Caenorhabditis elegans: one gene and its partners. The protein of the gene in region 3 interacts with the protein of the main gene of each other region in a pairwise test. Each region holds a gene or a part of one and is shown on either strand. Other genes may lie near its edges. The genes, in order: cgh-1, daf-4 and edc-3.

The links.
Region 1: the proteins of edc-3 (region 3) and cgh-1 interact in a two-hybrid assay, tested with the Caenorhabditis elegans proteins (4 studies listed by BioGRID).
Region 2: the proteins of edc-3 (region 3) and daf-4 interact in a two-hybrid assay, tested with the Caenorhabditis elegans proteins (one study listed by BioGRID).

The regions. Positions count from the first base shown.
Region 1 is NC_003281.10:7,492,286-7,501,953, reverse strand, and holds cgh-1 (ATP-dependent RNA helicase cgh-1), read left to right. Parts: upstream 1-4,121; 5' UTR 4,122-4,159; coding exon 4,160-4,264; intron 4,265-4,311; coding exon 4,312-4,815; intron 4,816-4,860; coding exon 4,861-5,278; intron 5,279-5,299; exon of another isoform or gene 5,300-5,377; intron 5,378-5,426; coding exon 5,427-5,692; 3' UTR 5,693-6,634; downstream 6,635-9,668. Other genes in the region: sap-140 (U2 snRNP-associated SURP motif-containing protein), read right to left, coding at 185-1,477, 1,528-1,700, 1,810-1,922, 1,965-2,097, 2,160-2,192; C07H6.9 (Serpentine Receptor, class Z), read left to right, coding at 2,507-2,545, 2,589-2,679, 2,724-2,866, 2,909-3,121. UniProt on the Caenorhabditis elegans protein: Probable RNA helicase required for oocyte and sperm function. Also required to prevent the physiological germline apoptosis mechanism killing essentially all developing oocytes.
Region 2 is NC_003281.10:5,620,736-5,632,955, forward strand, and holds daf-4 (Cell surface receptor daf-4), read left to right. Parts: upstream 1-4,406; coding exon 4,407-4,547; intron 4,548-4,627; coding exon 4,628-4,759; intron 4,760-5,127; coding exon 5,128-5,250; intron 5,251-5,871; coding exon 5,872-5,979; intron 5,980-6,028; coding exon 6,029-6,137; intron 6,138-6,208; exon of another isoform or gene 6,209-7,471; intron 7,472-7,760; coding exon 7,761-7,823; intron 7,824-7,933; coding exon 7,934-8,079; intron 8,080-8,126; coding exon 8,127-8,234; intron 8,235-8,725; coding exon 8,726-9,111; coding exon of another isoform or gene 9,112-9,136; exon of another isoform or gene 9,137-9,363; intron 9,364-9,722; coding exon 9,723-10,423; intron 10,424-10,890; coding exon 10,891-11,108; 3' UTR 11,109-11,587; downstream 11,588-12,220. UniProt on the Caenorhabditis elegans protein: Involved in a TGF-beta pathway. May be a receptor for TGF-beta-like ligand daf-7. Controls the decision of whether or not larvae enter a developmentally arrested state, known as dauer, in response to environmental conditions.
Region 3 is NC_003279.8:8,597,338-8,607,534, reverse strand, and holds edc-3 (DFDF domain-containing protein), read right to left. Parts: upstream 5,411-10,197; 5' UTR 5,382-5,410; coding exon 5,260-5,381; intron 5,215-5,259; coding exon 4,928-5,214; intron 4,808-4,927; coding exon 4,701-4,807; intron 4,654-4,700; coding exon 4,539-4,653; intron 4,490-4,538; coding exon 4,344-4,489; intron 4,299-4,343; coding exon 4,135-4,298; intron 4,089-4,134; coding exon 3,989-4,088; intron 3,942-3,988; coding exon 3,666-3,941; intron 3,261-3,665; coding exon 2,993-3,260; intron 2,947-2,992; coding exon 2,831-2,946; 3' UTR 2,373-2,830; downstream 1-2,372. Other genes in the region: idha-1 (putative isocitrate dehydrogenase [NAD] subunit alpha, mitochondrial), read left to right, coding at 1-36, 318-411, 459-605; F43G9.13 (Vesicle transport protein), read right to left, coding at 1,003-1,095, 1,158-1,237, 1,284-1,368, 1,893-1,995, 2,165-2,235; snrp-27 (U4/U6.U5 small nuclear ribonucleoprotein 27 kDa protein), read right to left, coding at 5,630-5,737, 5,806-6,165; ddx-52 (putative ATP-dependent RNA helicase DDX52), read right to left, coding at 6,802-7,009, 7,056-7,622, 7,672-7,830, 7,876-8,030, 8,077-8,216, 8,262-8,466, 8,515-8,624, 8,676-8,877; paxt-1 (Partner of xrn-2 protein 1), read right to left, coding at 9,110-9,369, 9,750-9,955, 10,003-10,133, 10,182-10,197.

The DNA of each region.
Region 1 (9,668 bases), on a different chromosome or scaffold from region 3:
GAATTAATTAAATATTATATCAGCACAACTATGGAAGTTAACTTGAAGTTGAGCAGATAAACGCTCAATTAAAATCTTAGCTTCATATTTTTGGAGTTAATTTTGAAATAAAAAATATAATCCCGAATTAAACGAATTACATGTGTGTTTTTGCAGACTTTTTTAAAAGTGAAAAGTCAATTACCTCGAAATTTTCTTATAAAGTGGGATATCCTCAATGGTCAGACTATCATATACACACTCGCAAATCTCAGCTGCATATTTTGCATTTTGTATACACCAAACCATCGTAGCGGCTATCGACGTCTTCTCAGGGGTCAGCTCTCGAATCAATGTCTCCAGTTTATCACGTCGTTTATCAGACATTCGATTATTCCTCTTTTTCTCATTCTTCTCTCTTCGTTTCCGTTCTTTTTCCTCTTCCCTGCGCATTTTTCGTTCTTCCTTTTCAGCATCCGAGTTCCGACGATTCTTTGAGCTCTCACCTCCTCTTCGTTGACCTCCGTCACGTACTTTCATCCATTTATCCGGATAGGTTCTAAGGCAATTCATATGATACAGTTCTTTTGGCATTGCATCTCTTAACTCATTGATGGGATACGGTGGAATCCACCATGACCCATTTTCGAACATTCGAAATGGAGTGCGCCGCCATTCTTCAATAGTGTCTCCTTGAAGCAACGAATAAATTCTCCATCGATAGTAAACGTGAAGAGCACTGGTATTATCCCAAAGAAATTGGAACATTGGATTTTGAAACTCTTCTGCACATATCATAGCTTCAAACTGAGGTCCTTCGGTTACAACGTAAACGGCCATTCGATCCATTACTCTGACCAGCTTCCTGTCCGGGGGGACAACAACTCTAATTTGTGAATTCCGTATCAGTTCTGTGAAATCCTCATACCCATATTGTCCTTTTGTTGGCAATGCATGCATCGGTGGAAATGTATTGTACTTTTCTAGAAACTTTTTGGCATCAGCACAATCCGGTTGTGCATTGAAGGGTAAATTTGAAGTTGGATCGGGATGTTGAAGGGCATGAAGTACGGGTGGAATGTAGTAAGGAATAGCAGGAATCTGGACAGGACGAGCAAAAGCGAAACGAATTGGCTCATTCCGAACGATGATTACACGAACTTCAGCCATAAATCTATCCACATCGGCACGAGACATAAATGCTACAAACGCGCAAATATGCGGCCGTCTTCGCTCTTCTTCGCTTCTCGGATACAAAATTTTCAGTGCGGCTAACGGTCCGAACGAACCAAATGTAAATAATAGATCGTCTTCCGTTACTGAATGTGGAATATTAGAGACATATACATTTGTAGTATACGGGTCATCGTCAAACTCCGACGTTCCCTGGAATCCTCTTTCAACTGTTGGAGCCAATCTCTCTACTACAGCTTGATCCATTCCAACTTTTTCCAGATGATGTCGTAAATCTTTCCGTTTTTCTCGATCTTCTTGAACTCTGAAATTTTACGGATATAATTCTTTCGAAATTCTTTTTTAGCAATATACCTCTGCAATTCCATTTTAAACATTTCCATTTGACTGATCTTTGGCTTATCTTGTTTCGCTTTCGAGCTGCCAGGCTTCGGGGGTCTTTGAAACGGCCTCGTAGTTGGCACGACAACTTTCGGCACTTCTGTCATTTTTTTGCTTCGTGCTACGTCTTCCAGCATCCTTCGAGCCTGAATATAGTGTTTCTTATTTCACTAAAAACATCCGTTAAGAAACGAACACATCTCTACCAATTTAAACAATGTGAAGAACTAAGCGCATGAAATTTATTAATTTTACCTTCGCGGCTGCTAATTTTTTCGCTTCATCAAAATCTTTGGATCCAACGTTCGAAGTTTTAGACGGAATGTTCATTGAAAACTTTGGTGCATAGATTCCACCGTCGCCAGCAGCTGAAAATTCAGTTTATATAGTTTTCAAATGGATTTTCTTACAAATCTTATTTCCCTCGACAACATTTCCTCTCAGAAAAGTTTTAGGCTGAGAAGAAACAGACGAAGATTGTCCAAAGTCTGCTTGGAACTCCAACAAAGCATCGTTCAACTTCGCCTCCTCATCGTCAGATGTCTAAACTTTTAAATCGGTATTATTAAAGCTTGTGACACTTAGAAGTTGACAAGGAAACTTACTTTCTTTCTCTTTTTGGACCATTCCATACTCATATTGCGGGGAAATTTCCCGGGAAATAATTTAAAATGTTAGATTTTTCCCAGTAAATGGACCAGGCACTGACAATGCGTCAGCAATTATGATGAAACGCGCCAGCAACCACTTTGGCGTGTTTTCGGATCTCGGCGCGACTTTTAAGTAAGGAAACATTTTATTTTTGAAAAAAGAAAGAACAAAATAATAACGTAATTAATTTCAATTCATGAGTTACACGCAATTTCATATTATTATTAACATTTAACGTTCAAATCATATAATTCATAAATAAAATAACAAACCATTTTTAAATAATTTGCATATAAGAATTATGAGTCTATCTCCTCCGCCGTTATTCAATCTCGATCAAGTTTGTTATCTGTAATGTTTCTGCCTTTATAAATAATTTTAAGGGATCTTGGAGTCCTATTGCTATAAACATGATTTGCCTAGAAGCTTTACAAACTTGGTACCAATCGGTTTATCTTGGATCTGCTTATTTCTGTAAGAAAATAAAAAGTGGAAAAATATAACAACTAAAATTGCAGATATGAAGACAGAGTCGTTCGTGTATCTGTCACTTGTTTACATTCAATTTTCGTTATTTTTTCTAACAAGCATTTTGATAGTTATATATTTTATATCATACAATGGAGTCCAACGTCTCAATGTTATTACGATTACCACAAATGTAACGTTTCTTTTGACTCCTGTTTTCAATTAAGATTTTCAGTTTATAAAAATGGTGGTGGATGTGTCCTGTTTCGGAACAATTTATTTTGTTGGCAGCTCGAAAATATTGCCTATTGTGGATTTGGCGTATTTCAATTGTGTTATCCAACCGTGTCGGTTTCTTATATTCATCGTATACTGCCATCACGGAGCTAGATGTGACGCATATCACAGATTTCTGGTTGAATATGAGGAGTTCGAATTAGAAAAATGAGGAAATCGAAAAACGATAAAGTAATCACATTACTCATTACATTTAGAACTAATTATCCTTTAATAAATTTTCATCGACGCTGGTATATTCTTTTTAATATTTAATTCATTATTATTCTCAAGAAATTTCGCATCAAATCTTCGTAAAGTTTTTCATTGAAATCTAATTTTGAATTACCGCCATTTTGTTTCGCGCGTTGGCTGAGTATTCAACTTTTGTGTGTTGAATGTACGCAGCGAAATGCCTCTCACTCGTCGCTCGCAGCAGCTTGGCCTACTCGTCCCGTCGCTCTCACAGTTTTTCTCTCCACACTCTCGTTTCTTCGCACATTTCCTTCATTTTGGCCGTTGTTCTCCACGTGTTTCTGTGTTTCTTCTCTAGATTTCTAAGAGTTTTAGGCGACGATGGCAGCTCCAATCTGTTATCGACACTTTCTTGATAGATTCAGTCGTTTTCCGAAGATTTTTATCAGTTTCGTAGCTCAGAAACCTGTTTTAAAAAACGATAACAAAAAGTGTTCTTTCAAACTTTCGAATGTAAAATATAAACTTTTTCGCGTTTATTGTTTGGAGAGTCGCTTAAAAACTGGAAGGTATCAATAAAAAATTGTCGTGATTCTCTGACCTTTTGAAATTGTTTCTTGTCAATTGCCACGTCGTCAAACATCGGCTACCCTGTTGGCTAGATACTCCAGCAACCCAAAGAGTGTCTGTGCGTCTCTATGCGCCGCCGACCACTCGCTTGCTTTTTCTAACCGTCATTGATCGTGTGTATACGAGCGCGAGACAGACACCGGTTGTCTCGCATAAATATTATCTCAGTGTTATTTAGCGTTCCTCCTAATTGTTCTGAAAATGCTTGAATGATTTTTCCATGACTAACAAAATTGTAGTAAACTCGATAGGTATCATTTTTTCGCATTAAAAACTTATCTTCCTTCATTAACAACTTCTCAACTTACACCATTAACAACTTCTCAACTTTAATCTCGATTTTACAGATCTCATCAGGAAATCAAACCTACTACGACATCGGAAAATGAGTGGAGCGGAGCAACAACAGATCGTTCCTGCCAACAATGGCGACGAAAACTGGAAGGCTGGTCTCAATCTTCCAGCAAAAGACAGAAGATTCAAAACTGCTGTGAGTTTGCAAAGCCTATATGACTTTGTGACCATTTCATTTTTCAGGATGTCACTGATACGAAGGGAGTCGAGTTTGAGGATTTCTGCCTTGGACGCGATCTTCTCATGGGGATTTTTGAGAAAGGATGGGAAAAACCGAGTCCTATTCAAGAAGCATCCATCGGAGTCGCTCTCACTGGTCAAGATATTCTCGCAAGAGCTAAGAACGGAACAGGAAAAACCGGAGCTTATTGTATCCCTGTTATCGAGAAGATCCAGCCAGCCCTCAAAGCTATTCAAGCCATGGTCATTGTCCCAACTCGTGAATTGGCTCTCCAAACTTCACAGATCTGCGTGGAGCTCTCCAAACACATTCAGCTCAAAGTTATGGTCACTACCGGAGGAACTGATCTCCGTGATGATATCATGCGTCTAAACGGAACGGTTCACTTGGTCATCGCCACCCCAGGAAGAATTCTCGATCTTATGGAGAAAGGAGTCGCCAAAATGGAACATTGTAAAACACTTGTTCTTGACGAGGCTGACAAACTTCTTAGTCAAGACTTCCAGGTAAAAAAATTAACATTTGAATAAGATAACAATTCTCGTTTACAGGGAATTCTCGACCGCCTCATCAACTTCCTCCCAAAGGAGCGTCAAGTTATGCTTTATTCTGCCACTTTCCCTAACACCGTCACTTCGTTCATGCAGAAGCACATGCACAAGCCGTATGAGATCAACCTCATGGAGGAGCTTACTCTTCTTGGTGTCACCCAATACTATGCCTTTGTTCAAGAGAAGCAAAAGGTCCACTGTTTGAATACGTTGTTCCGAAAACTTCAAATCAACCAGTCGATCATCTTCTGTAACTCTACTCAACGTGTTGAGCTTCTCGCTAAGAAAATCACGGAAATCGGTTACTCGTGCTACTACATTCATTCCAAGATGGCTCAGAATCACAGAAACCGTGTCTTCCATGACTTCCGTCAAGGAAACTGCAGAAACTTGGTTTGCTCCGATCTTCTCACCCGTGGTAAGTTTGACTAAATAATTTGCGCGATGAGGATTGATAACACATACACACACTCTGAAGTTATGTGAAGAGATAATTGAAGAACGGATATCTGAGCGCCATTTTTCTTATTTTAAAGTGTAGTTCATGCATAATTGTAATTTTTCAGGTATCGATATCCAGGCTGTCAATGTTGTCATCAACTTTGACTTCCCAAGAAACGCCGAGACTTACCTTCACAGAATCGGTCGCTCTGGACGTTTCGGTCACCTCGGAGTTGCAATCAACCTTATCACCTACGAAGACCGTCACACCCTTCGCCGTATCGAGCAGGAGCTTCGTACTCGCATTGAGCCCATCCCGAAAACGGTTGACCCGAAGCTGTATGTCGCTGACCAGCAGCTCGTCGATGCCGCCGATGAGACCACTGCTTAAACACTAGTTCTCATATCCCCAAACCTCCAAAACACACTGGTCGCCTACGTTTTTTTTTTCCATTCTAGTGATCTCGTCCAGATTGTGTATGTTCTCTATTTTCCTTTAAATGCACAGTTTGTGCTAAATTTAATATTGTTCAAGCATAAGCATCTTTCCTTCCTGTTTTCTCAAATCCCCGCACATTATTTGTATCCCATCCACCTTCCCGGACCCCATCAACCCGTTCCACTTATATGCGGTGTAAAATTCTAATTTTTCTTTTTCATTAGTTTCCCCATACCCTCCAACTTGCAGTCATGGACTGTAACTCATTCAAGTCGTTGTGTTTTACATAGTCATTTAAGTTGGTCTTTATGCTCCCAAAGTAAATTGTTTCGACATTAATGTGTCGTTGCAAAATATATTTGGGAGTGTAAGGACATTGTTCATACACATCGGGTTCTTTTTGACGTGTATCATACTGGGTAGCCGGCTCTGTAGTTATTCTGTTGAGCCGCACCACATTGATCAATCTTGTAATTTCCTATCTCATTTCCCACAATTCTCCCTTCATGCCCCATACCAATGCATCCAAAATTTAAAACCACCATCCTTGCGGTTTTCCCTTGCCCATCTGTAGGGTTTTATTCCGCTCTTGTGCTCATTCCAGTTCAACTTGTCCATCTCCTAATCTGATAGATATTTATTGCAACTATTATCATGTCAAATGGCTCAAAGACTATAATGTCTTGGAAGGCTTCCGGCTGGCCATGTGTCTCGCTTACAGCTCTTCCCCCATCCCCATTCCAAAACCATTTGTTCTCTCCCGCCTCCTCCCTCTTGTTTATTGTATAATTTGTAGAAGTTGACACCAAAAATTTGCACAATTTTTCGATTCACAAAGGATGTGCAAGCTTCCTTCTGGATGATTGCCATCTTTAACAATAAAAGACCGAATCGAAACATCGTCTTCTGTTATTTCTTTTCAGAGTTTCATATGAAGAGGAAAGTAGTGAAAGCCTTGAGAAAAACCGAAAACCCACAAGAGATACATTAAAGCACATTAGCGCATTTCCCGAGTGAAAGACCATGTGAAATGAAAGTAACAAAATGCGACGATTTACTTTCGTTTCTCGTATTCCCTGGCAACAGCAGCGGAAGGCGTTGAATGTGTTGACAGTCAGCCAGCGGCAATGGTTGAGGTCGGTATTCAATTTACTGTTTCTCTCTTGGATGTGTCATCCGGAGAGGTGATTGCCCATCCGTATCGGCACCAGTAATGCGCGCCGCGCACAGTAATATTAGTTGATATTGCGGTGACGGGAGAGGTCGGAACGTCTACATTAATCTATTAGTGTGTATTCGGATTCCGACCGCAATGACTTTGAAAATTCTTTTTAGTTTCATTTTCTCATATGCTTTTCTATATGTATATCCTCGCCTTTTGTAATATTATGCAAATGTTAACAATCCGTATCCGTCGATGACAGGCGGCTCGAACCGGTCTGAATTGGATTGGAATTCTTTGCGCGATATCCGCAGAGAGACAAGTGATGGCATCGAAACTATTTTTTTCTCTGATTTTTATACGGTTTAGGCATCTTTTTTTTTAATTTTAATCAAATAACAAAAGTTTATAAAAATATAACTTTTTTGACCAACTCCATCGATAAATCACGAGGTTAGTCTCGTATTACTCACATTTACTGCATTGTACAAAATGACCATTTTCAGAAAATTTTCCAGACGAACGCGCCCGATTAATAAATTGAAATAGTCTTTCATTTTTCGTTGATGATGTTATAATGGAAAATAATGCGAAGTACAACAAAGTTTTATTGCCCAGACGCGAAATGTTGCGAGTTTTACGTAAACGGGTGTGCGCCTTGAAAGATTACTGTACTTTCAAACTTGTGGTGATGCGGAGTTTTCATCGATTTTTCATAGTTTCACGATTTGTTGAAATTTAAATGTCTTAATTGTTTCGTATTAGTATTTTAGTAAATAAATATTTTTAATCGAAAAACTATGGTAAATATGAAAAATCGATGAAAATTCCGGAATTAATTCCGCAGCAACGAAATTTAAAAATTACAGTATTCTTCAAAGGTTTTTATATTTTATATAGAAGGATTTGTTAACTTTATTATTTAAAAAATTGTTTTCATTTTCCCTCATTATTTTTTGTTGACCATTTATATCGCAAAAAAGTGTATTGATATTCTAAACAGCGTTGATGACCACTTAAGTGTCAAAAAAAGAATGAAAAACGGTTTTGAATTGAAATGAAGGAGAAGTGGACGGTGTGATACATTTCTAAATAAATTCTTTTCAAATTTCAAATTCACTTTTTTACACTAAACAATTTTTGATCGGATTTTTGAGTTACAAAGAGCTTTAACGTGGAGCTATACCTATTTTGTAAAACTTTTCGTCAAAGTTCTGAAGGTACAGTAAAGTGGAGTTTTTTCTTGAAATAAACTTAAAGTTGATCAAAAAGGCTACAAATTAAAATAAAATACTTTAAAATGTTCAAGATTTTTCAGAAATTTAATTTTCACTCTTGGCAAAATGTCAAAACCTATGTAGTTTTGAAACATAAATTTTTTTTTGAATAATTGCAACATTATTTGTGAATTCATGCAAAATGCAAAATGGGCGTAAAAAGTGAAAAAGTTGGACAAAGAAGAGGTTGAAATGCCATTAGGTCCATTGGGTCAACCTTTCGAATAATGAAAAACTGGATTTTTTTCTCATTTTCTCAATGTCTACTCATTTTTCGATGTTCCATTTACCATTAGTAACCGCAAGGAAAAAAAACAAACTATAGACTACTTAAAAACTATTACTATTAGAAGTGATATTATACATTTTGAAATAGTTTATGCTTTTAATTGATCTTTGGAAATAATAATAAAAGTTTATCATTTTTCCATAAAAAGATAAAAAGACAAACTAAATTCATATAATTTCCTAGGATGTCTATAGAACAGAAGTTAAAAAATACAGATGTCTGAAATTCTGGTTTAATAATTACTCGGCATACCAACTGTTTGTACTGGCAGTAAGAAAACGAACCCACCAATTATAGTCCTTCAAGTTCCGTTGCAAACATGGGTTCTTCGTATCTTCTTGTTTTTGTGTTTTTATTCACTTTTGGAAAAGTTTTTTGGAAAACTTTAGATTTTGGTATATCCGTAAATTCAAAATCTGTAGGGTTCTAACACGATTTCCAAACGATTCAAAAATGTATCAGAAAATCCAAATTTTATTATACGTATGTTGTCTGCATATTTCTTTCTCTTTTGATCTGATTTGACCGTACTCGGTGATTTCTTTGTGGATTTTTAGTTTAAAATTTTGCAGGAATAAAAGTTAAAAAACTTTTTTGGAAACATATGATTAAAATGGGTCGCCACAACTCAAATAATAAAGGGTCGCTCTGATAACGTACGCAAAACTGGAAGTTTGAATAGCAAAATCGCTTCAACTTTCAGCTTAGACTTTTGCCCCATTTAAACATTGTTACGAAGCATTGCAATTTTGACTAATACGATAGAAAGCTGAAAAACCTATAAACCATATACCTCAATGTTTGAGTTGTGGATGCTTTTGTACCTTTTCTAAAAACTGTCTAATCAAAAACGATAGGATTAGTGTCTATAAAAAATAATTTTTCAAAAAGAAAATCTATGCTGGACCTTCTTTTATCAACCTTCAACCCTTTGCCTGCCTCACGCCTACACCAGAATATCTACACTGAGGGAACGGCTCCTGGGCAGTCAGGTTCCAGGGCCTGCCTGCCAGAGAAGTCCTGTTTGGAAGTAACGTAACAGACGATATTGGCCATATAAAGTTCAACATTGTGAGGTTAAATCGTTGCAATTCAATTTTTTTTTTTTTTGATTATTCAATTCACCAAAACTGTCCCGTTCCCACTTCCTTCATTCAATTTTTTTCTGTTCTCCAACATACCGCAAAATTTTGAAATCAT
Region 2 (12,220 bases), on a different chromosome or scaffold from region 3:
TTTCCTGGAGTTGACAATATTTGAATAAGTATCCTAGTGGCAGAGATAAAATCGGCCAAAGTTCAGATGTAAGGAGGTGGGGCAAGGTTGGTAAGGACATTTTTCTAACTTTTTGAACTAATTTTGTACATGTAGACATATAAATGTGCGGTACGTAGGTTACGTAGGCAAGCAGGCAAGCAGGCTCAGGCAAGGCTTGAGGCAAACGCAAAGAATACTTGCCTGCCTGCATCAAAGCGAACAATCTCTCATGCCTACATGTTTGGGTAGGCACGTAGGTAGGCACGTAGAAAACTGCTTTTACTACTTTCAACACTCCCAAATTAGAAATTCTGGCAGTTGCCGAAGTCTGCACACTCGGCATTTATTAGAGGCTGCTTGGCAGAAAAATGGAAATTCTCACTATCAGCAAAATTATTGCTTATCACTAAAAATTTGCTCCCCAAACCACCGATTTATGCAGCATAATCTCGTGTTATTCTTTCCTTCCTCATAATCATCTTCTCTCCCAATATCCTCTTTCCAATTCATAAAAAATGCAGTGTATGAGGAAGAAAGAGAGATAGAGAGAAAAAAAGAAAAAGACAGAAAGAGCGCTGAAATTATTCTCTCAACAAATCGAACGCGTGGTTGTTGTGGAGAGGAAGAAGAGACACGGGCGGCCGAATAGAGAAAGTTAGGCGTACGAAAGAGGCCTGAAACGCAGACATGTAGACAAATGCAAGTCCATCGTCTCTTCATTTCGTGTACTCTCTATCGTCTCTTCCCAGTTGACGACCCGAACACACGGCTCACAATGCCCGGGCACATCGACTAAATGATTGCGCGGGAAAATGAGGCACCCAGGTTCCACCTCACCGTCTTTTTCTCTTCCTCTCTCTTTTTGCTCTTCTAATTTCCGTTGGGTGAATACTGCTTCCCGGGTGTACCTTTTTTTGAGCTCGCCAGTTGCAGAAAAGTTGTCGACCTACTTTCTTCTTTCAAGTAGGCAATCGGCAATAATGGTATTTGCGATAGAGCTATTTGGGCAATTTTAGCATCTAATGGCGGTTGCCGAAACATTGCCGAGAATAACTAAATACTAGAAGTGTATCTCCCTGACAACCTCATTCTTTTTCTCCTCAAGCTGAAAGCTCCAATTTGTCATAATTTGCAACTTTGAAACTTTTTCTGATTGTCAAAAATCTGCAAACTCACCTTCTTCCTGCTTTACACTTTTTCATCTTTCGTTCAATTTTTCTATCTTTTTTTCTAACAGTTTTAGTAATGTCAAACATTTAGCTTCGTTATCTTTTTTCTCTTGCACGCCTGAAAAGGGTTGCCAACTTACAAGATATAGCAAACGTTTTGACAAATATTTTGTTAATTGAATTTTTAAGTAAATTTTACCATTCTTTCTTTTTTTGGAGAGAATAGAGAAATGATACATTCTAGCTTCTATGCGGTTCCCTTTAACATTCCTTGATAACTCTCAATGTTCTTGGCAATTATGGAAATTCCAGAAAATTGTATGTTTAGTATCCATGTTCACTTTCCGCTAATTTCTGATCTACTGTTCAAGTTCTGACCACTTAAAACATCTCCCCCTGAGTGTCCTGCAAAAAAAGTTATATGTGACTTTTTCAACATTTTTTCAACCCTCCCTGCAAATCGTTTGACCTATTTGGAGTGCGTCGTGGGCGGGCTGGTAATGACCATCATTTTCCCAAATAAATTATTTTCGGAAGTGTTCTTCACGGTTTGTGTTTTGTAGTCAAAGTTCTAGTGAAGTTGTTTGCAACTTCGGAGTACTTTGCTGTCGAGGTATTTCCGTAAGAGTTAGGAAAAATAATGTCAATTGACAAATTGTAGGAAAGTTTGTGCTGAACATATTTGAGCAATGATTGTGCTATTTTTTTTTGCCAATTCTGAGTTATATCACTTCATAGTTAATATTTTTTGATATTTATAATCGCAAAATTCATATAAAATCTTAAACTTTTATTCCCACTGACCATGAATAATATTAATTCACTGAATAACTGATGATAAGTACCCAATCTTTTTTGTTTTGTCTCTCTTTCTCTCACTACTATCTCTCTTTTCTCTTTTTCAAATGAGAAGAACTAAAGCAAACAAGTTGTGTCCTTTTTTTCACTAATGTTTAACCTCGAACCGACAGCGAAACCACACTTTTTTGCTGCAATTTAACGTTTTCTCACACGATTGGACCTTTTCATGGAGGTCTTTTATATTGATTTTTTTGAAGATTTAAAACTGTTTTTAAAATTTTTATACTTTCGACCCATCATCAACATCAAGTTTATTTTCTTCTTATAGGTAGCTAACCCCATAATTTTTGCGACATTTCCTGTTTTGAAAATGAAAAAAAAAGTTGCGAAAAATAAGTTAAAATGCTACAAGATTTATGTTACAATTTTAAATGTTCTCATGGAAGAAAATAATAAAAAATGATTATTTGGAAAAATAAATACAGGTTGTTCACGAGGAGTACTTGAACTAATGTTTTGAATTTGATCTAGTTATACGGAAAAATTTGAAAAAGTAAACATAAGTTTAGTTCCCGCCGAATTAGGTAGTATGTATTTTTTAATAATTGAAATTCGAATAATTTATTTTTTTTCTTGACAATTATCTCTTTTCATATAATTTTCAAAACCGTCGTGTACTCATCGTGAGCAATATTGCTTGTTCTTCGACCTCTTACTTTGAACTCGATGGTTCCTTCAGGTATTCCGAGGCCTTCAGGTTCCTACTATTTTGCTCTTTTCCTTCTTCTTCTTCTTCATCTAACATAAGAGAGCTTTGGTCTTACACGCCTGCTGCTACCCTCTCCTCCTTCTTCTGCAACAACAACAAACCCACCGTGGTCACATGTGAATTTCGCCGAGTTTCACGCTCTTTTTCCCCCTTTTCTTTTTCGGCTTTTGCTGCAAAAATAGAACGAGTGAATAATACCCAGAAAAAAGCGAGTGCTTTGTTGTTGTCAAGGTAAACACAAAAAATATATGAAAAATGTTCAAAAAATATTCGTTTTGACATTCTCTTCTCCCACTTAAGTCGCTTGATTCAATGTGACGGGGAGGCTTGAGGCAGGAGGAAAAGTATAAATTCACCTGAAATAACGAATGGTGACATGTTTTTGAATAAGAAGAAGGAAAGGATGACGTTGAGTGGTACTTTCTATTTTCGTACGTTTTACAGAAAACTTATTGAAACTTAGCGCCCGACATCTAGCCCAAACTTGGACGAACACCTAAGCCTAAGCCCAAGCCTAAATCTCATTTTAGACTTTTAGCCGAGCCCACGCCTACTCCAATTCCGTTCTGCTGAAAAAAACATACGTTTTCCTGGTACCACGCACGAAATATAATCCTGAGAAACTTTTTTTGGTTACATTACATGTGTATAGCACATTATTTAATTTTTCCTCGAATTGCTAGTGTATTTTGGGAACCGAAATATGGAAAGTCCAGTTAGTCCGAACTTCGCCCATTTCCTATAAGGTGCAGGTGTTCATCGATACTATATTTTTCTCAAAGTTCCCGTTCTATAGACCCCGGAAGATCCCGCCTTCATTCTGTTTGGGCCCCGCCCAACTTTAGCCCCCTCCGATGAGAAAAAGAGCACAAGAGGACAGCGAGCCCCTCTTGTAAGGTTCTTGTAGGTCAGATTGTCACGTCATTTGATTTTTTGTTGTTGTTTATTAGAGAACATTGAATGAAAACCTTTTTTTATTTGAAACAAAAAGTAGAGAGTAGAGTTTGTAAAAGTGATAAGAGTGTACCAATCTTTGCTGTTTCCTCGTTCTTTTTCTCTTTTCTCTCTTCATTTCTGATGTGTGCTTCTCACTTCATTTTTTTTGCAAACTTTTTGTGCTTCCTTAACACTTTTCACATCTTTCGTTTGATGGAGATTGTGCAATTTATTCCTATTTTTACGGAATTTTTGAAAAATTTGGTTGACATTTTTTAGTTGAAAGTTTTGAACTCTCATGGTGCATCGAAGTAAAATTCAAACATTTTATTTTAAAAAAATGAAAAGTTTTTTGTTAAAAAAATTGGAAATTTCGAATGTCGAAATTCGAAATTTTTTTATCCGAAATTTCGATTGCTTTTATTTGAAATTAAGAAATTTAATTTTCATCAAAACTAAATTTTTAAAATTTTAGCTGGAAATTTTAGCAAAGCTGGCAATTTTATTTAATTTTATCGAAATTTTCGAATTTTCGAATTTTTGAAATTTTATTTATTTTTTCTCAAGTTGAATTTGTTGACCTATTTTTTTTATTTAAATAAGTTTGCATCTATTTTTCTCAATAAAACATTTGATCTTAATTATTTATTTATTTTACTCCTCAACTTTAAAAAAAACGTTACAATAATTCAACTACCTTCAATTTTCAGATGAATCAGAAAGGGACAGTACGTCTCAAGGCACTTGTGCTCATTTGCCTTCCACTCTTTTTAATTGCCACACCGGTTCCTGTTGCAGTCACGGAAGACGATCGTCAGGACCGAATCGAATCGGAAGCCGCCGAGAAAGAGGTGAGCATTTTTTGAGAAAATGTGTTTTTGTCGTAAACTTCTTTATTTTATTCTATCTCCTTGGTTTAACCATCTTTCAGTGGGCTAACACCCTAGTCAGCAAAGTAGCACAGTCAAATGGAACTGGCACTATTAAGGTCTCGGCACCAGCGAAGCCCACGTTAAGGAGAATGGACAATGAGGAGGATGAAGTGATTTCGATTGAATGTGTAGTAAGTTTTTGGATCAATTTGATGGAATTTAGGCTCATTAGATAGTGTTGACGTTTTGGGGATCAGAAATCAGTGACTCTCCCGTTTGTTTAAAAATTACTGGATCAAATACACTTTAATTCCAGTGAGCCCTGTTCCCCTTGTAGAGGTCGCAGAGCCAATCCACCCACATTCCACTGATCCTTGTTTCAATTAACTATAGTTACTTTAAAGTACCAAGATATTCTAAAAGGGATAAGTTCAAACCCGCAAGCTACAATAACTACAACTCCTTTTGTTTTTCAAGTGTTATCACTATTCCATAATTATAGGCTCTCTTCCCCAAAATTAAAGCAGTAGTAAAAACGTTAAACTTTAAAATTTTGCAGTACTACGACGAGATGGAATGCGAAAAGAGTGGCGATTGTGAAATCACAAAGAAGACGTGTTACAGTGAAGCTCATCTGAAAGCCGTCGGATGCTTGGCCGTATTTGGGCTGCCCACGCAAGAGGTTAGTGTGGAAGAGGTTTTTGGCGGCCACCCCCAGACCGAACTGTGTCACATGACGGGGGCCCTTTATATATATTGTTTCATTTGTTATTCATGAGTGACATCTTCTTCCTCTTCATCCGCGGAAGTATTTGTATCTTTTGCATTTTTTTTTCCATTCTGGCTTATGACTTTGTCAGCTGGAACAAATTGGGGTGACATGACTCGTGATTTTTGATAGTTTTGTAGGATGGAATTTGAATATCAAAATTAAAATCAGAATTGCATTAGTTTTATCGAAAACAAATACATATGAGCAAGGTTTTGGCCTTTTTGAAGACGACTTTGAAAATTTACTGAGCGACATAGGATTTAAACGTGGAACTTGATTCAAATTGAAAAAAATACTGCGGAAAAAGTTAATGATCAAGGCTTTATTATTCCTTTGCTACAAAGCTCTTCAAACCAAACTTAAAAGTTGTTGAGTTTATCAATCCAATTTTGATCGAATCCATTAAAAATGTGCAAACCAACTAATCCGGATTTAGCTGCCCATGTTTCAAAAGATGATTAATTGAGTAAAGGGGATAATAATAGATATATGCATCCATATTATAAACATCAAAAATCTTAAAATTTCCAGATAAACTCTACAGAACCATACCTGAAAGTTGATAAACCGCAATACAAAAGTCTGGGATGTATGCCGTATCAGCACGCGGACTCGATGAACTGCGAGAACGAAAGCTCCGTAAGTTATATTTCAGCATTCGGAGCACCTCATAAAACTGGAATTTCAGTGTCGCCAAGGACGATCATTTCGCGGCGGAATTGGAATGTGCTGCTGTTCGACCAACAATTGCAACATGCCGGATCTCATCGAGATGGTCAACCCGTCATTGAAGAAGGGTCAGTGAGCACATTATATTAAGAGAGCACTATATCCCATGTTTAACCCCATTCTTAGTATACTAGAGCAACACGCAATGATTCTGTTTTTGTGAATATACATATATATCACCTCCTTCTTTTTACCTTTTTTACCTTCTTTCTGTCCCACTTTCTGTTTAAATAACCTTCTTTCGGGTGAGCGTTGGGGCTAGAGGCTAGGGAGAAATTGTTGGCATTGAAATGAGAGGTTTTCTGTGAAACATTTAGCTTTAAGTTAGCAGAATTTTCACGAAAGTTGAACAACCACGCGTGTCTGTGCCTAGTTATTTTTTCGAAATACGGTTCATCATACGGAGGTTGCCTCCCATCAACTAAAATACGACAGAGTTGGAGCACATTCGAGAAAATTCCCAGGAAGTTAGACAAAAATGTGGCAAACTAACGACGAGTGTAGGGAGATAGTGGACGGAAGTTGGCAAACGTTGCGAGCAAATGAGAAGCACCAAATTGCAATATGTCCTAATGTAGAAGCGTTCAGGCGAAAGTTCGAGAGAGTTTGGCGATGTTTGGTTTGAGCTCGGCCACAGTAATAGGGAAAGTGACGCGAAGTGTGATCAATCTGAGTCAAGCTTTCGACAAGTGAAAGACGAGAGTAGGAGTTGAGGAGCGGGCCAGATGGAAGACGGAAGCTGCGACGAATCTTCAACTAATTTATGAGCGTTGAAAAAAAAAGTTGGAGAGAGGTTATGGGGTTATTCAAGTAGTGTCGGAAAATTAAAAAGTGTAGAAAAATTACGTCACAACCTTATTCAAGTAGATAAAAACATGTATTTAAATACATTTGTGACGTCACAAATGTATTTAAATGCATTTTGCTACATTACTTGAATAACCCCATTAGAAAATTTTGAATGGTCTCTACGGATCTCAGCAAACGTTCGTCCAAACTGCGACAACCTTATGACGCGTTTATGATAAAATTTGAAGTTGAGACAATGAGAGAGAAGGATAACCGAGCAGAGGTTGAGAAGAAAGCTCGAGAGAGCTTGGCAAACATTGAAAGATAGTTCAGCTAGCCCTGAGACAATATTTTGCGCCAAAGCTGAACAAATTTCCGGTGGAAGTCAATCGGAAATTAAGAAAAATATGGAGAACTTCCCATTACTTTAGCTATACTCCTCCCAACCTTTCCCCGTGTACCCTCAACCTGAAAGAATCCACCTCTGTAAAAGCCTGCAGTTGTCATAAACCTTGTTCCCAATTTCTCTTCCCTTTCCTAATTTTCTCCGAAAAAAATGCACGTGGACCTCTCCAGATTGTCTCCTAATTTTCTCTTACCCCTCACACATACACACACACACCATTCATGCAATTTTATGTTTGTTCTTGTGGCTTTGCAAGTAAACCACTTTTTTATTTCAACTTTCTTTTGTTCTTTCTGTTTCTAGAGGCGATTCGCAACGACACTCTGCTGTTATTTGGCTCCTCCCCTCCAGTGAGCGGAGTGTCGTTGCAAAGTGAAACAAACGCTTTTTCGTAATAATTTGCACCCGTGGAAGATGCCTGTACACACACACACACATACAAATAAAAACATGTACACATTTTGAAATCACCTATTTAGAGCCGATAAAATTTCAGATTCGGATAATTCTGCACTTCTGTGGGCTTCAACTCCATCCAACATGGATTTGGAATCTCTAGGTACTGTCTGCATCTACGTCTCGGGGCTAGCTGGGTACTAACTAGGTGCTAAACACCCTCTACCACACATCCCCCACTCTTGTCAGTTTCTCAATGGAGCGAATTTGCAGACAAGTTCCCATTCTACTGGATCATCATAATCGCACTGTCAGTGATCCTTTGTATTGCACTCTTGATCTTGGCATACGTTGGTTGGAAATTTCAGCAGAATAAGAAGGAGGAGATAAAAAAGCAGCAGAAAATTAAATTTGACATGGCGAGTTTTGTCTTTTTTGAAATCGAATCAATTTTCGAAATTTTCAGGAAAAAACTGACGCACTGGAAGCTGGAAATGTGCCTCTCGTGGAGCCGGAAGAGGAAATGATTGAAATGGTGGAGACACCAAAGGAGCTGCCGATCACTGATTTTCAGGTATGTAGGTACCGCAAGAGTCGTGCTTGATATTTTATATTGAAACATGCTCTCTAAATCTAGAATACAACATTTGAATTTTGAAAAAAAAACCATATTGGTGAAACTTTTCAGCTTTACATGAATTTTTTAAAAATTATCAAAAACAATTGTTAACATAACTTAAAAACAACGAACAATTCTGAAAACATTTGAATTTATGGTTTTTTAACAGTGTCGGGGAACGTTTTCATTTGGCATTGGAGCGCATTTGCACTTTGATTTCAAAATTCACATATTTCGCGTCTTCATAATAGTTCGTCTTTTTGATATTTTGCTCGGAAGTTCGACCTCACGGTGTAAACTTTTGATGTCCACTACTTTGTGAACTCTGAGCTTTTCCTTACTTTTTCTTTATCTTTGAGAAAAAATGTTGAAAACAACAGAAGGCTCTTTTCATGAGCTGATTGACGTCACACTTACACTCAATGACATTTGTTCGTTTATTGCAGTTAATCTCAAAGGGACGTTTTGGAAAAGTTTTCAAGGCGCAATACACCCCAGACAGTGGTGAGAAACGATTGGTTGCGGTGAAGAAATTGAACGAATTCCAAAAAGCGAGCTTTTTGGCGGAGAAAAGAATCTTTGATGAGCTTAACGAGTACCCGAAGTGGTATAAAAGTATCGTCGAATTTGTGTGCGCCGAGAAAATTGGTGATGAGTATTGGATTGTGACCGAATTTCATGAGCGACTTAGTCTCTATGAGTTACTCAAGAATAATGTAATTAGTATTACATCTGCCAATCGAATTATTATGTCAATGATCGATGGGCTTCAATTCTTGCATGACGACAGGCCGTACTTCTTTGGACACCCAAAGAAGCCAATTATTCACAGGTTAGTGGAAAATGAAAATAATTAGAAAATTTTTAATGGATCTGACTTGTGATCGCCCTCCAACTAGTTTTAATGCTCAGAACTTTACTCTAGGTTGGTCCTAGAAAAAATCGGAAGAAGTTGCTAAGTTGCGCTTGAGCAGCCGACATTTTCAGGATCAATTAATAGTAGCGTGGACCTACAAGTTGTCGGCTGCAATTTCCAGTAAATATTTTTTGAAATACACACGATAGAGTCCAAAATGATAGGGTAAAATATTGAAAAAAAAAAACCAATTTTTAGGCGCATGACAATTTTCAGTTGAAGTTTCGAAAAGTTAGGGTTTAGAAAAAAAATAAAAATTCAAACAATTTTGTACATTGGAACACCTAAAGTATCTAGAGTTAATTAGAACATAATCAGAATATAAATTTCGCGGGAAAATTGTGTACAAAGTGTTATTATGATATTCGGTTTACTATCGGAGAGATTCTAACCAATGCTCCCAGTAACACTACGTTACCTTTTAAGAGCAGGTAGCGAGTTTCAACGACGCACGACGCTGGTTAGTGTATGCTCCAAACTGTTTCTAATGTCTGTACTTATTCAATTCAATAACCAATTTTTTGCAGAGATATCAAGTCGAAGAACATTCTTGTGAAAAGCGACATGACCACATGCATCGCGGACTTTGGCCTCGCCCGAATCTACAGCTATGACATTGAGCAAAGCGATTTGCTGGGTCAAGTGGGAACGAAACGCTACATGTCACCAGAGATGCTCGAAGGAGCAACCGAATTCACGCCAACTGCTTTCAAAGCGATGGACGTTTATTCGATGGGACTCGTCATGTGGGAAGTCATATCCCGTACCAAGTTGCACCAAACCGACGAGCCACCAAACTACCAAATGCCGTTTCAAGTCATCGGATTTGATCCCACAATTGGTCTCATGAGAAATTATGTGGTGAGCAAGAAGGAACGACCACAATGGAGAGATGAGATTATTAAACATGAATATATGAGTCTGCTAAAAAAGGTTACGGAAGAGATGTGGGATCCCGAAGCGTGTGCACGGATTACAGCTGGATGTGCGTTCGCGAGGGTATGGAATCATATTATGAGCTCACCGGACAGTTCGGAGGGGTATCACAGTGGAAGTAGTATGAAGAATCGGGGTGTTGATGATGTTGAACAAAGTGAGAAGCCGGAGGGTATCGAAGAAATGCAACATTATCATGCGTCGTCACCCAGCAAGAGACAACATCCTAGTCCGAATCCGTTTTTTGATTCGTGTCCACCACCTCCGCCGATTCCTGTGATCCTTGAAAATGGTGAGTGTACAGTGAATCGAATAAATAGTTGACATGACCCGTGAGATGTCGGCTGCTTGTGAAAAGCAGTTTCTAAATTTTAGGTGACTTCCCAGGAGATGTCGGATGCTCAATGCAGCATAGCTTTAAACCTTGAGCAGCCGACATCTCACTGACTAGTTATACGTTTGTGTAGGTAAATGTAGGATGCTGGTAAATGACCGACCGACATCTTATGGGATACGAATGGCTATGCTAAAAAACATCTCACGGCTAATTAATTGGTTTTGTGGTAACAGTTTTCTGAAATGATTGGCTAGTCCCTAGCAGCCGATGTTTTGTGAGTTCACTGATGTTTTAAGAGTGCCCGCTGCGTGAACCAACGAGCAACCGACGTTTTGCGGGTTCCAAAACCTTATTTGCCTGGCGTAACTAGTAAAGTGTCGCCTGCTATTTTTCCTTTTTTATAAACAAAAATTATTTTTCAGGAGGAATCCTCCAACCAGACAACGCGGAGCCAGAGCCCGAAGAGCTGCCGGATCTCCCGATAGTCGAGAAAATCTACGATATTGCGACGAACATGCTATTCTCAAGAGAAGAGCTTGACCTTATGAATGCTCAACGGCAAGTTGAATACGAAGCTGGGGCAGACACTCGAGCGTCGACACCAACGCCTTCAGGGACGTTTGGAACGTTTACAACATAACTATTCATTCAAATCTAACATTATTTTATATTATGATTATACTCCCATCCTCTCCTATTCTAGTCTATATGTAGCGGTGGACACCTCACGGGCCCCTCGCCGCTGGCCCACCACCTTGTCTCTACTTACGCGTCCCCTAATGATCTCAATTTGAGCACAACCGGTGTATATATCAACTTACAGACGTTCAATATAAGAACCGCTAAAAGTTCTATGTCTTCGTCGTCTAAAACTCTTCCAAAATCTCTGATCTCTTGCATTGTCTCTCACTCAACCAAGTTGCCCACTCTCATCCAACTAACTCAAAAACTTACCTCAGCCCATGGGGCATCCCCATATTCTCTCATTCATTCACTATATTCATTGATCTGTGATAACTTTGTATTGGCAGTTCACATCACACAAGAATCTTTTTTTGTATATCAGTTGATTATTTATTCTTCATTTTTTACACTTAAAATTAAATAATGTTTCTTGCTATTCACGAAAAATTGACATTTTTCTTTTTTCAGATTCATCCGGAAATACCCATTTTTAGACAGCTGATATGCCTCATCACCTGCCACTAGTTAGAATGTTTCCTTCACTTCTTATTTTGTTATTGACTATCAACTTTCCGTCTATTTCAACATAAAACATTTCCTTGTACGGCAGTAGCCAACCGACGCCTATTTTTGTTCCTAGCCCTTCTTTATGTTAGCTTTTTAATCCAAAAAGCTTTCCACTCACACAATCTTTACTGGGCCCGCAGAATGTCGGCTGCTTCCAGTTCTTGACAGCAGCAGCCGACACCCGACGGATCACATGCTAAAAGTCAAAAGTTCACGGTTTTTGAAATTTCTCTTCTCCTCCTTCTTCAACAGCAAAAAATAACATGAGGGAACCGATCTATTCTTAGTGAGTAAACGCAATTTGGCTCCTTCTCTCTATTCGTCTTGTACATCAATCATATTTGGCGTGTCTTGTCCCTCTCCTTCCACTTTTCAGAGAGACACTTCTAAGAAGAATTCGATGTTTTGTGTGTGTCTGTGTGTCAAATTGAGAAGCGTGCGAACGAATTCGATTGAGGCTCCAGTCAGCACAAGCAAAAAAATAAAGCTCAGTCTTGTCTC
Region 3 (10,197 bases):
ATCTGGAAATATTGGAAAAGGAGCCGCCGTATTTGAGTATGTTTTTTGTTAAAAAATGCTTTGACAAATGAAATGAACTCAGTTTAGAATTTTTGTTAATTTCTGAAATTTCAGATAAACACATAGAAGTGAAATCGAAAGCAAAAAATACGAAATTATAAAAGTAGGAAATACTAAAAAAGTTGAATTTGATGAAATCTTGCATTTTTTTAATCTTCTCAATAAAATTTAAATCTAATTTTTTTTAACCTGAAAACTTTATTTTATAGCGAAATACAATTTTTTATTCAAACAAAACTTACCAAATTTCTTTACAGATCCGTTCACGGAACCGCCCCAGATATTGCTGGACAAGACAAAGCAAACCCAACTGCTCTTCTTCTATCTGCCGTCATGATGCTCCGTTACATGGTTTTTATATCGTAGTCGGTCTAAAAATTTTACAAGCTCATTTTCAGAACCTTCCACAACACGCTGCTCGTATCGAAAAGGCTGTATTTGATGCAATTGCTGATGGACGTGCCAAAACTGGAGATCTCGGAGGTACTGGAACTTGCTCTTCATTCACCGCTGATGTTTGTGCCCGTGTTAAAGACCTCGAATAAATGCTCAATGCTACTTCCCCTTCTATTTTCTTTTTCTTATTGTAAACAGGCTGTTAGACACTAAAACACTTTGATGATTAGTAATGATTTAATGACACCTTTTTTCGGTTTTCAATTTTGTATAGATTACCCACCAGTCCATCCCGCGTCCTTAATCGCTTTACTCCTATCCCATTGGCATGAACCACAAAATCGTTCGATAAGTCTTCTCTGATTCACTCGCATAACTATAAGCACCCCGAGACTTTTGTTTTTTCTTCTTCTACACCATCTTTCGATTCCCATTATTTCTGTTCATTTCTGGAAATTTTTATATGGTTTTTTCTTTTCGAGATTTTATAGACAAAGAAACTAAAAAAATTTATTAAAGCAATCGTTTCTACATAATCACAATAAGTTACAGCGTCGCGTGGATTCGGGTTACAGAAGTCACGAAAATCAGAAGAGTTTGAATGATACCCATTATTGCACAATACCAAGTGCTCACAGCCTGAAAAATGTTTTTTCCCTCAACTTTTTAACTTCTTGAAAAGTAAATTTTTTTTAACGTACATTTTTCGAAGCGTACATTGCCAGTGCGAGAACCATTGACGTAGGAGCACCAAAAACGAAAGGAATGATGAACATCATTACTGAAAAGTTGAAATTATGAAAAAAAAAAGATTTTCAGAATCTTACTGATAAATGGAATTGGAATAAAGCAAACGTATGGATGTTTTCGAAGAGTGAAAAGGGAAAGAATTGTGGCTCCGAGACTAATTACCTGGAACAATTGAAACATAAAAAATAGTTTCTGAATAAAATATGTCATATTACCCGTAGCAAATTATGCCAAAGAATACAGACCCCAGTTTCGACACGACTAATATACTTGTTGAGTGCATGGTGTGCGTTCATCTGTTTTTATCGTTATTTATTTTTGTTTTTTACAAAGGAATAAATTAATTAAATTAAAAAACCCGTAGGCAGGAGTTTTAAATTACAGAACACACCTTTTTGCATTTATTAAAAATGTGTCGTATCGAGACCGGGTACAGTATTGTTGCCAACAATTTTTCGTCTGTGTAATAAAGTCAGTTTTTGTTAGGGCATTTTGGTGAATTAAAAGGTGTTTAGAAGTAGGGACTCGGAGTTTGGAGTAATCCTAGCCACTTTGAAAGAAGTGTTAATAATATTGCCAAAAAAATATAATACACAGATTTTTTTTCTGGAAATGCAAAAATGCCAAATCTTCGAATTTTTGGAACATTAGAAATTTTAATAATATTTCATGTTTCCAAAACTTACCATAAAAGAAAGTGACATCCAAAGAAATATGCTTAATGTGATTTCCCACCAATCATTCATATATTTTCCAGAAAGAAGTAGTGCACCGGCCAACGAATAAGTGCTAGAAATAGAAAACATTAAAGTATTTCTTGTGGAGATTTTTTGAATTTTAAAATCAAAAATGAGCTCATGGATAGAATAAAAGGGCATGTACAATCACATTATACATTAATTTCATTGCATTGTTAACGGTATGCGGTATTCAGTTTAGAATTTAGAAAATTTCTCACCTTTCACTGGTTAAATTTGTATAATTTCTAGAATTCTCGAAAATCGTAATTATTTCTTTATTTTCCGGCATCTTGAGACTCTTGATTACATTATTTTTAATTCAAATTCTGAAAAGCAGAATAATAATTTCAAAAATTAGAGATTAAAAGAGATAATTTGGAGGAATTAAAACTTTTTGTAAATTTAAATTGAAAACATGAATTCTCGATCTCTAATATTTTATTTTTCGGTGCTAAAAGTAGACGTGGTTGGGACAATAAGGTATATCAAAATATAAGATTTGTGCAAGAATATGGAATGGAAGATACATTTCAAAATTCAAAAAGTTTTGGTTCTTAGAATGGAAATGTGCAAGTCAAACGGGACAATACGAAACCACCGATATATTCCAACGACTTGCCAAAGGGAAGAAAAATGATATTGGAGTGATAAAGTAACGCCGACTGTGGGATTTTTAGAGAAAGAGAACAAATGCTAAACTACACGATTTGGTTTGATTTGGGATATCTTATGGAAGAATTTTACTATTTTGAGAACAAAGAAAATCACTCGATTCATTGTGATTGAGACTATAGAGGGATCGCTGGAGAAAAATCAAAATGATACTGAACCATGTTGGGCGAATAAAAAAAGTGTATGTCAACAGGAAAAGGGTTTTAAATAAACTAATTGGATTGTGAAAGTCTGACAAGGAAAGTTGTAGAGAATGCGGTAGAAATGAATTTGGAAGATGTGTTGTCGAACCAATTCGATGGAGATCCGAGGTCAGCAATGGCACTATCTGGAATTTTTTTTTGAATTTATTGAGTAGAAGAAGTAAACCTTACCAACAAGAATAGAACTTGTCTCCTCGTGCATTTTACCCTGGCACAAATGTTCAAAAGTGATACCTCCACGATTTATCGTTTGAACCTTACGTTCCGCATGCCGAAGTCCGTTTGTAGCACATCCAAATTGAAGCAAATGGCATCGAGATGGTTCGAGAACACTTGGAACATTTTCAATGCATACGTAATGAGAAGAAGCTCCATTGCTTTGAGCACGGAGCCAACATTCAACATCGTCGTTGACGACTGGTGAGAGAATACAGATTATCTGCAAATATTACATTGAAAATTATTTTTTTGTGAGAATTTTTGAACAAGGATGTTATTCGATATTCGATATTTTTGGAAAATTGATTGAAATCGAAAATTTTCGGTCATTTCTCTATTTTTCCAACAAATTGTATTCTTGATCTCATCAAAATCGGCAAACATTTGATGTAAAAATTTTATTTTTTCGATTTTTTTTAACAATCGAAAACATTCGTTTTTTCGACGATTTTTTTCGCAAAAATTTGCAAGATACGACTTTTGCAGCAAAACTTTAGTTTTTTTGATTAAAAAATCATCAGAATTCTGAATTTTCGGTTTTTTGTTAATGTTATTGCAAGAATTTTTGTTTTTTTAATACTTGCAACAAAATATAAATATTTCCGAATACATCTAAAATCCTGACCGGAACTTCTCTCGGAAGCATCTTTACATCAGTGACCACATTGACATGATCAAAGATCTCTCCTGGATATTTTCCGAATAAATGACAATTGTAACGTCGCTTGTCGAAATGGGTGAGCAGACGACGAATGGAACGAACAGAGTTTGCAGAAGATGCGAGAAGAACTACAGTTCCATGTGCATCACCATACGAATTTTGAACTTCTGAGACCCATTGGAAGATGCGATCGGCGACGATTGTGTCGTAGACAGCTTCTCCTAACGAAACCCTACATTCCTAAAAGAACATCAATTTTATATACTAATTTATTGGAAATCTCTCACATTCAAAAATTCTTTCTTTTCATTCAAACTTATTGCAGGAATTGGATCTCCAATAATCGACTTCTCAAAACTCACAGCAGTAACTCGGAAGTTGTTCTTTCTAGAATTATTACAACTATTTTCATAATATTCATTAAATAACTAACTCAGATGTCTGAGGTGTCGTTCCTGTCTTCACAAGTTCAGATCGTGCCTTCAAATTTGTCCACGAGGTCACTCGATTCTCATCGTCAATTATATTTTCGTAGTGAGCAAAATTTTGAGAGCATTTAAATTTTTCAACTGTCTCATAGTACTGGTCATCATTCTCCTGTAATATTTGTTTAAAACAAGAAAATTTCATGAAGAATCTCACATCTTTCTCGAATAATTTCAAATTTTCCGCAAAATCAAAATCTGAATCCAAATCAAAATCGATTGGATCAGCGAGATCATTCTTGTTTCGGCCACCAATTCCCTTGTAGTGATTGAGAGCGTCAAGAACTGGATTTCCAGACGGTCCTGAAAATCGAAACTTATATTTTGATTTTCAAATTATTAGAATTCTAACCCTGCTTCTTCGAACATCTTCCCCCATTCGAAGCGATTGTGCTCAAAACTTTTGGGTTCGGAACTTGGCGATCGAAACTTTGGAAATGTGGTGTTGCTGAAATTTCTTCAGCTGTCTGAAATATGTTATTGGTAAAAGAAATATATCATAGATTTATCATACATGAGAGAATCCATTGTGCATTGGTGATTGACGGCTCTGTTTCTTCGCAAGAGTCAGCTTGGATGGTGTCGAGTGATGTTCAAAGAGTTTTTCAACATTTGTCGCAACTGGAAAAATACATATCTCCTTCAAAAAATATTTAATTTTTGTATTTTTTTTTCAACTTTTACTTACTCTCGGTTAAGATAAGGTATTCAAGTTAGATAAAACACGTTTTTTAATCATACATTTTTTCGGTGATCGCCCCTTTGCCGATTTTTGAGGAGAAACTGCAACTGAACGATTGCGAGAAGAATCCGGTACTGAAGAAGCTGAAGAAGATGCGGTGGAAGTGGAAGATACAGTAGATTCCGCAGACTTCTTCAAAGGTCTCTGTTTATTTACACTATTTGAGGAATTTTGAACTGGCAAGGGCTGGGATTTTTGAGTTGACTGGGTAGCGCCTCTAATCACTTTCAATCGACTAATGTCTGACGACGAGAGAGTAAAGCAACGATGAAGAGGAAGTCCATTTCTGAAAAAAAACACATTTAATTAAAGATTTTATTGAAAATCGTACTTGATAACATTCGCCATGGTCAAATTCCCATTATTCGTATCATACGTTGTCAACTTTCCTTGATAGACATTTCCATCTTTAGTTTCGGTTGATATGACGCTTCCAATGAGTTTGTCATCCATTTTTAATTTGAAATCAGAAGAATTGGAACCTTAAAATTAAAATTATAAATGGGGAATCGTCCGTAGAGCGATAAAAGATAAAAAAGGAATAGAACCTCGGAAAAATATAAATAAGAACAAAACATTTAAAAGTTCTTATTTTAAAAATAACGTTCCGGTGAAATAAAAATGATTTGGGTACAGAATTATTCTCTAAATGAAAGAGATCAAATTGAAAAGAAAAACAATAATTATTGCAAAAAAATAAATTATCCCATAAAATCAAGTGGACGATTGAATCCTCCCTTTCGGTTCATGTATTGGCGGTATCTGCGAGGTTTCTTGATGTTCACGCAGCCATCCACGTTGTCATTGACCTGAAAAATTATAAATCTTTAAAAAATTTTAATTTGTGGAAGAATATTCAAAGATAATAAATATATACCTGTTTATTTTTAGTTGTATCGAATCCACCAAATCCCATTGCAGCCATCATCGCTTCATCGTCTGCTCCACTTTGTAACGACTCTAGACTGATCTCCTCTTGTTTCTCTCGTTTCTTTGGCTCACGATCCTTTTTTTGTCGTTCACGATCACGTTCTTTTCGATCCCGTGATCGACTTCTTTCCCGCCGATCTCGTTTATCGCGCGGACTTCTGCTTCGACTGCTTCTCTTTTCTTTTTCGTCGCGATTTTTGCGAGCATCTCGACGTTCACGACTTCTACTTCGTTCTCGCCTTCTTTCCACTGATCTTGATCTGGATCGTCTCTTCCTATCGCGACTGCGACTTCTGTCACGTCCCATTGCTCGCGAACTGAAAAATAAACGAAACTTGTAACGAAAGTAAAACGCAAAGCTATTTACGAAGCTTGAAAAGAAAAGTCGTCATAAAGAATTTTTCCGCGGAAAATTCGACTCAATTCTCCTTTATTGTCATCATAACGAGTAAGAAATGAAATAATTAAAATTTTATATTTCTAAATGAGTTTTCTGCTCTAAACCAGAAGCCGAGTACAAGGAAAAAGAATTAGTTTGTTTTTCAATAAAACGTTTTTTTTTGGACAAGAAAAAAAAGAAATCGAGAAATTTATTGGACAAGAACCAAACAAAACTGAATGCTTGTGAAATTTGCTGAAATCGTCGATATTTTCGTTTGTACGGTGGGGCGCGCTTTCTCTTCTCCGTTTCAAAAAAAAAATCGGTTTCGTCCAGAACATCATAACAGCTTCGGCGTGAATTAAAATATAGTTTCAATGAAAAATACATTATAATCAACTTAAAAACACTATGTTCTGGATAAAATGGAGATAATGGTAAAACTTTTAAATTGGACTCGATTATTTCAACAACGAAAAACAGCAAAACAACAAAAAAACAAAAAAATCCTAACAATTTTCAACTGAAACAACAAAACAATTGAGCGCAAAATTCGCAAAACATTTATATATTCTTATTGTTCTTCTTGATCAACTTCTTTTTCTTGATTTTCTTCTCTGGTTTCTCCGCTGTCTGTGTTTCAGTTTTATTCTTCGCTTTTTCCTCAGCGGCTGCCTTTGCTAACATTTTCTTCTTCTTGATCACCTGCTCTTTTACAATGGCGATTTTGTGACGCTTTGGAGCATGTTTGAGCATATCCTTTTTACGATCTCTGAATTAAAAATTGAGTACTCAGAACAATAGGATTACCCTCAAACCTCGAGACTTTTTTCATTTCCATTAAATACTCCGGCACATCAAAACCAGATTGACGGATAACAGTTGCAATTGATTTAATATACTTCATATCAGCATCTGTGAAGTATGTGACAGCATGACCACTCTTTCCAGCACGACCAGTTCTTCCAACACGATGAATGTAGCTAACAATTGAAGTTGGCAAATCATAATTGATAACCAATCCAACATCAGACAAGTCAAGACCTCTTCCAAGTAATTCAGTACAAACGAGAACCCATATCTCTCCTCGACGGAACCTTTCCATCGTTTCATCCCTTTCCTTATCACTTTTTCCACTGTTGATTGAATCAACTTTTAGATTTGAATCAATTGCAGACAGTAATTTCACCAGTTGCACGGCACGATCCTTGCTTTGTACAAAAACTAGAGCTGGTGGTTTGAAGGAAGTTCGCAACAAATTTCGAATAGCGATTTTCTTTCCATCTTCAGTTCCACAATAGGTTAACTTTTGCTTCACACTTGTATTAGACGAGTTTCGTTCACCAACACATACCATACCAATTTCATCGATATTCTCCTTACACCTGGAATTTAGATATGGAATTTTGATATGACAAATCTTCGAAAACGTACCATTTTTCAACTTCATGTGAAAATGTGGCACTGAAGAATGCGACACGTGTGCATTTGGCATCACAAGCCTTGTAAATTGCAGCGAGTTGGTTACGGAAGCACTTGTCCTGGCCTTCAACAACCTCGAACAAACGATCGGATTCATCAACGACAAGCCATCTGAAAAAATGAACAAAGTTTTTAGGGAATGGTTCAAATGCAAACCTTAATGAAGACGTATCAATTTTATCCAAATGAAAAACGATACGATTTGGAGTTGACACGAGGATATCTGCATGCTGAATATCAGTTTCTTCTCCACTGAAGTTGGCAGCTGAGATCGAAGTATTGGCGCAATATTTCAAAAATTCGGTGTAAGTCTGAAAATCGTTAAATTTGATTACGATTCTATAAATTCTGTAGAACCTGTGCTGCTAGTTCTCTTGTCGGTTCGAGTACCACTGCCAACAGCTTCGAAGAGTTAGAGGATGAATAATCAGCACGTTGCTTTAATTCGAGAATCTCATCGATGACTGGAAGAGCAAACGCCAACGTTTTTCCTGATCCTGGAACAGCCGGAATTGGAAGTTTTTCTCTTTTCAAGTCTTTACCTGTGGGAGCACTAGCAAGAACATTTCTTCTCTCAGTCATAAATGGAATTGATTGCATTTGAATTGGTGATGGTTGACGGATTGAATTCTCAGATAGACGATTGAGCAATGATGGTGACATGCTGGAATCGGAGAATCGTAGAATAATATTAGGAAGATGATCACCCCAAGTGAAAATTCGATTGGTACGGCGAATGTCGTCGAGCTGAAGATTTTTTTTCAAATAAAAATTAAATTTCTGTAGAAATCTCACCAATTTCTGCATTCTCTTTTCCACGTCGCCAACGGTCTCCTCCACTTCATTTTCAGAATCTCCGTCAGAATCATGTACTCTCTTTCGTGATGCAAGAATTTCAATCGACGCTGAATATTACAAATGGTTTATAAGTATTATACTAAATAGACAATATTAACCTTTCTTTTTATTTTTCTTCACTTTTTTCTCAATTTTTGACTCGACTTTTCCGATCATTTTTTCACGAAGTTCGTCATATCTCCGAAGCGATTCTTCTGTGATCGTTGATAGTTCTTTCTTTTTGTTAAGATCATCGGCATCTTTCTTTTTCGGTTGTGATCTTTTAATACCGAACGAAAGGGTTCTAAATGCCAAGGACATCTGAAATCACATATAGGTATACAGATTCGGGTGAACATTTCGAAAGAGGTAAAAATGATGAGATTCAACATCATTATAAAAAATTAGAGTAAAAATGCAACGATTAGTCAGTAAAATTCATAGGAAATTTGATGTAGTTGTATAAAAACCAAAGCCAAATATAAATAAAACAATAGAAATTATATTCACGAGTGCAAAAAAAGTAAGCTCCCCTAGATCAAGCTAATTGAGATTATTGGAATGCAAGAGAGCTGTGAGATTTCATAGAGTTAATGACGTTGATTTTATCGTTGAGAATCAGTTGACACACGTCTTCGCTCATTTGATTCGCGATCGTTGCCATCGCTGGTTTAGTGCATTCAGTGCTGGATAAAACACGAGAAGATAGAAGAAGATCGGCAGTGACGAGATCAAGTTGTTGAGACCATCCTTCCAATTTTTGAGTATTTTGAATCATTGACATGTTAACTGCATCCAAATATGTTGTAAGACCTGAAAAAGTTTTCTAAATACATTTTTTCAAAAGAAGGCAAAATTATTTGTTTTCCAATTGCCGTTCGGATTGAGTACTGTAACAAACTTTCGAGTTTTTTTCTTCCAATTTTCAAATATATTTTCTAAAAATAATTGTTTCAGGGAACGGCATCCATAAGTACCGGAAGCAATATTTTAAAATTTTTAAACGTGTTGCCGCTAATAAAAATGGGTTTACAGCCGAAAATTGATAAAACGAGCTTGCAATCAAATTCAACAATCCCACTTCTAAAATGATTTTTGAAGAGATATTGTTCCAACTTTTATAATCCTTACTTTTGAGACCAAATGTTTCATTCAATTTAGTGATACTGTTTTTTTAAATGAAAAAAGCTCGCCTTTAACTGTATGTGCACCATTAGAAACTGCTGATTTAATTTTTGCAAGTCTTCTGGTGACTGATTTAGCGTAACACTCGTCCACCGGAACTCCATCAAATCTAATTTCGTAGCTTTCTTCGTGAACAGCGGCGTCACACGAAAGAATGCTTTCAATTAGAGTATTGATTGCACAATCCCTTGGATCAACACAGTATTGGGAGAATCTGAAAGAACATGAAATTCAAATAGTTTCGAAGATTTTTATACAAACGTATGTCTGAAGGCCACATATCGATCGATAGTTATTTCAATTTTCTGGTTAATCTTGTTCACGTGCCACTTCATGAGACAACTATTCGTGGCAGTTTTCATCATTTGTTCGCCCGTTAGATGGTGAGGTGTCTGAAATTAAAAGATTAAAAGATTAAAAGTTAAATCTGAAATGTTCACCATTGCAAGAGATGCC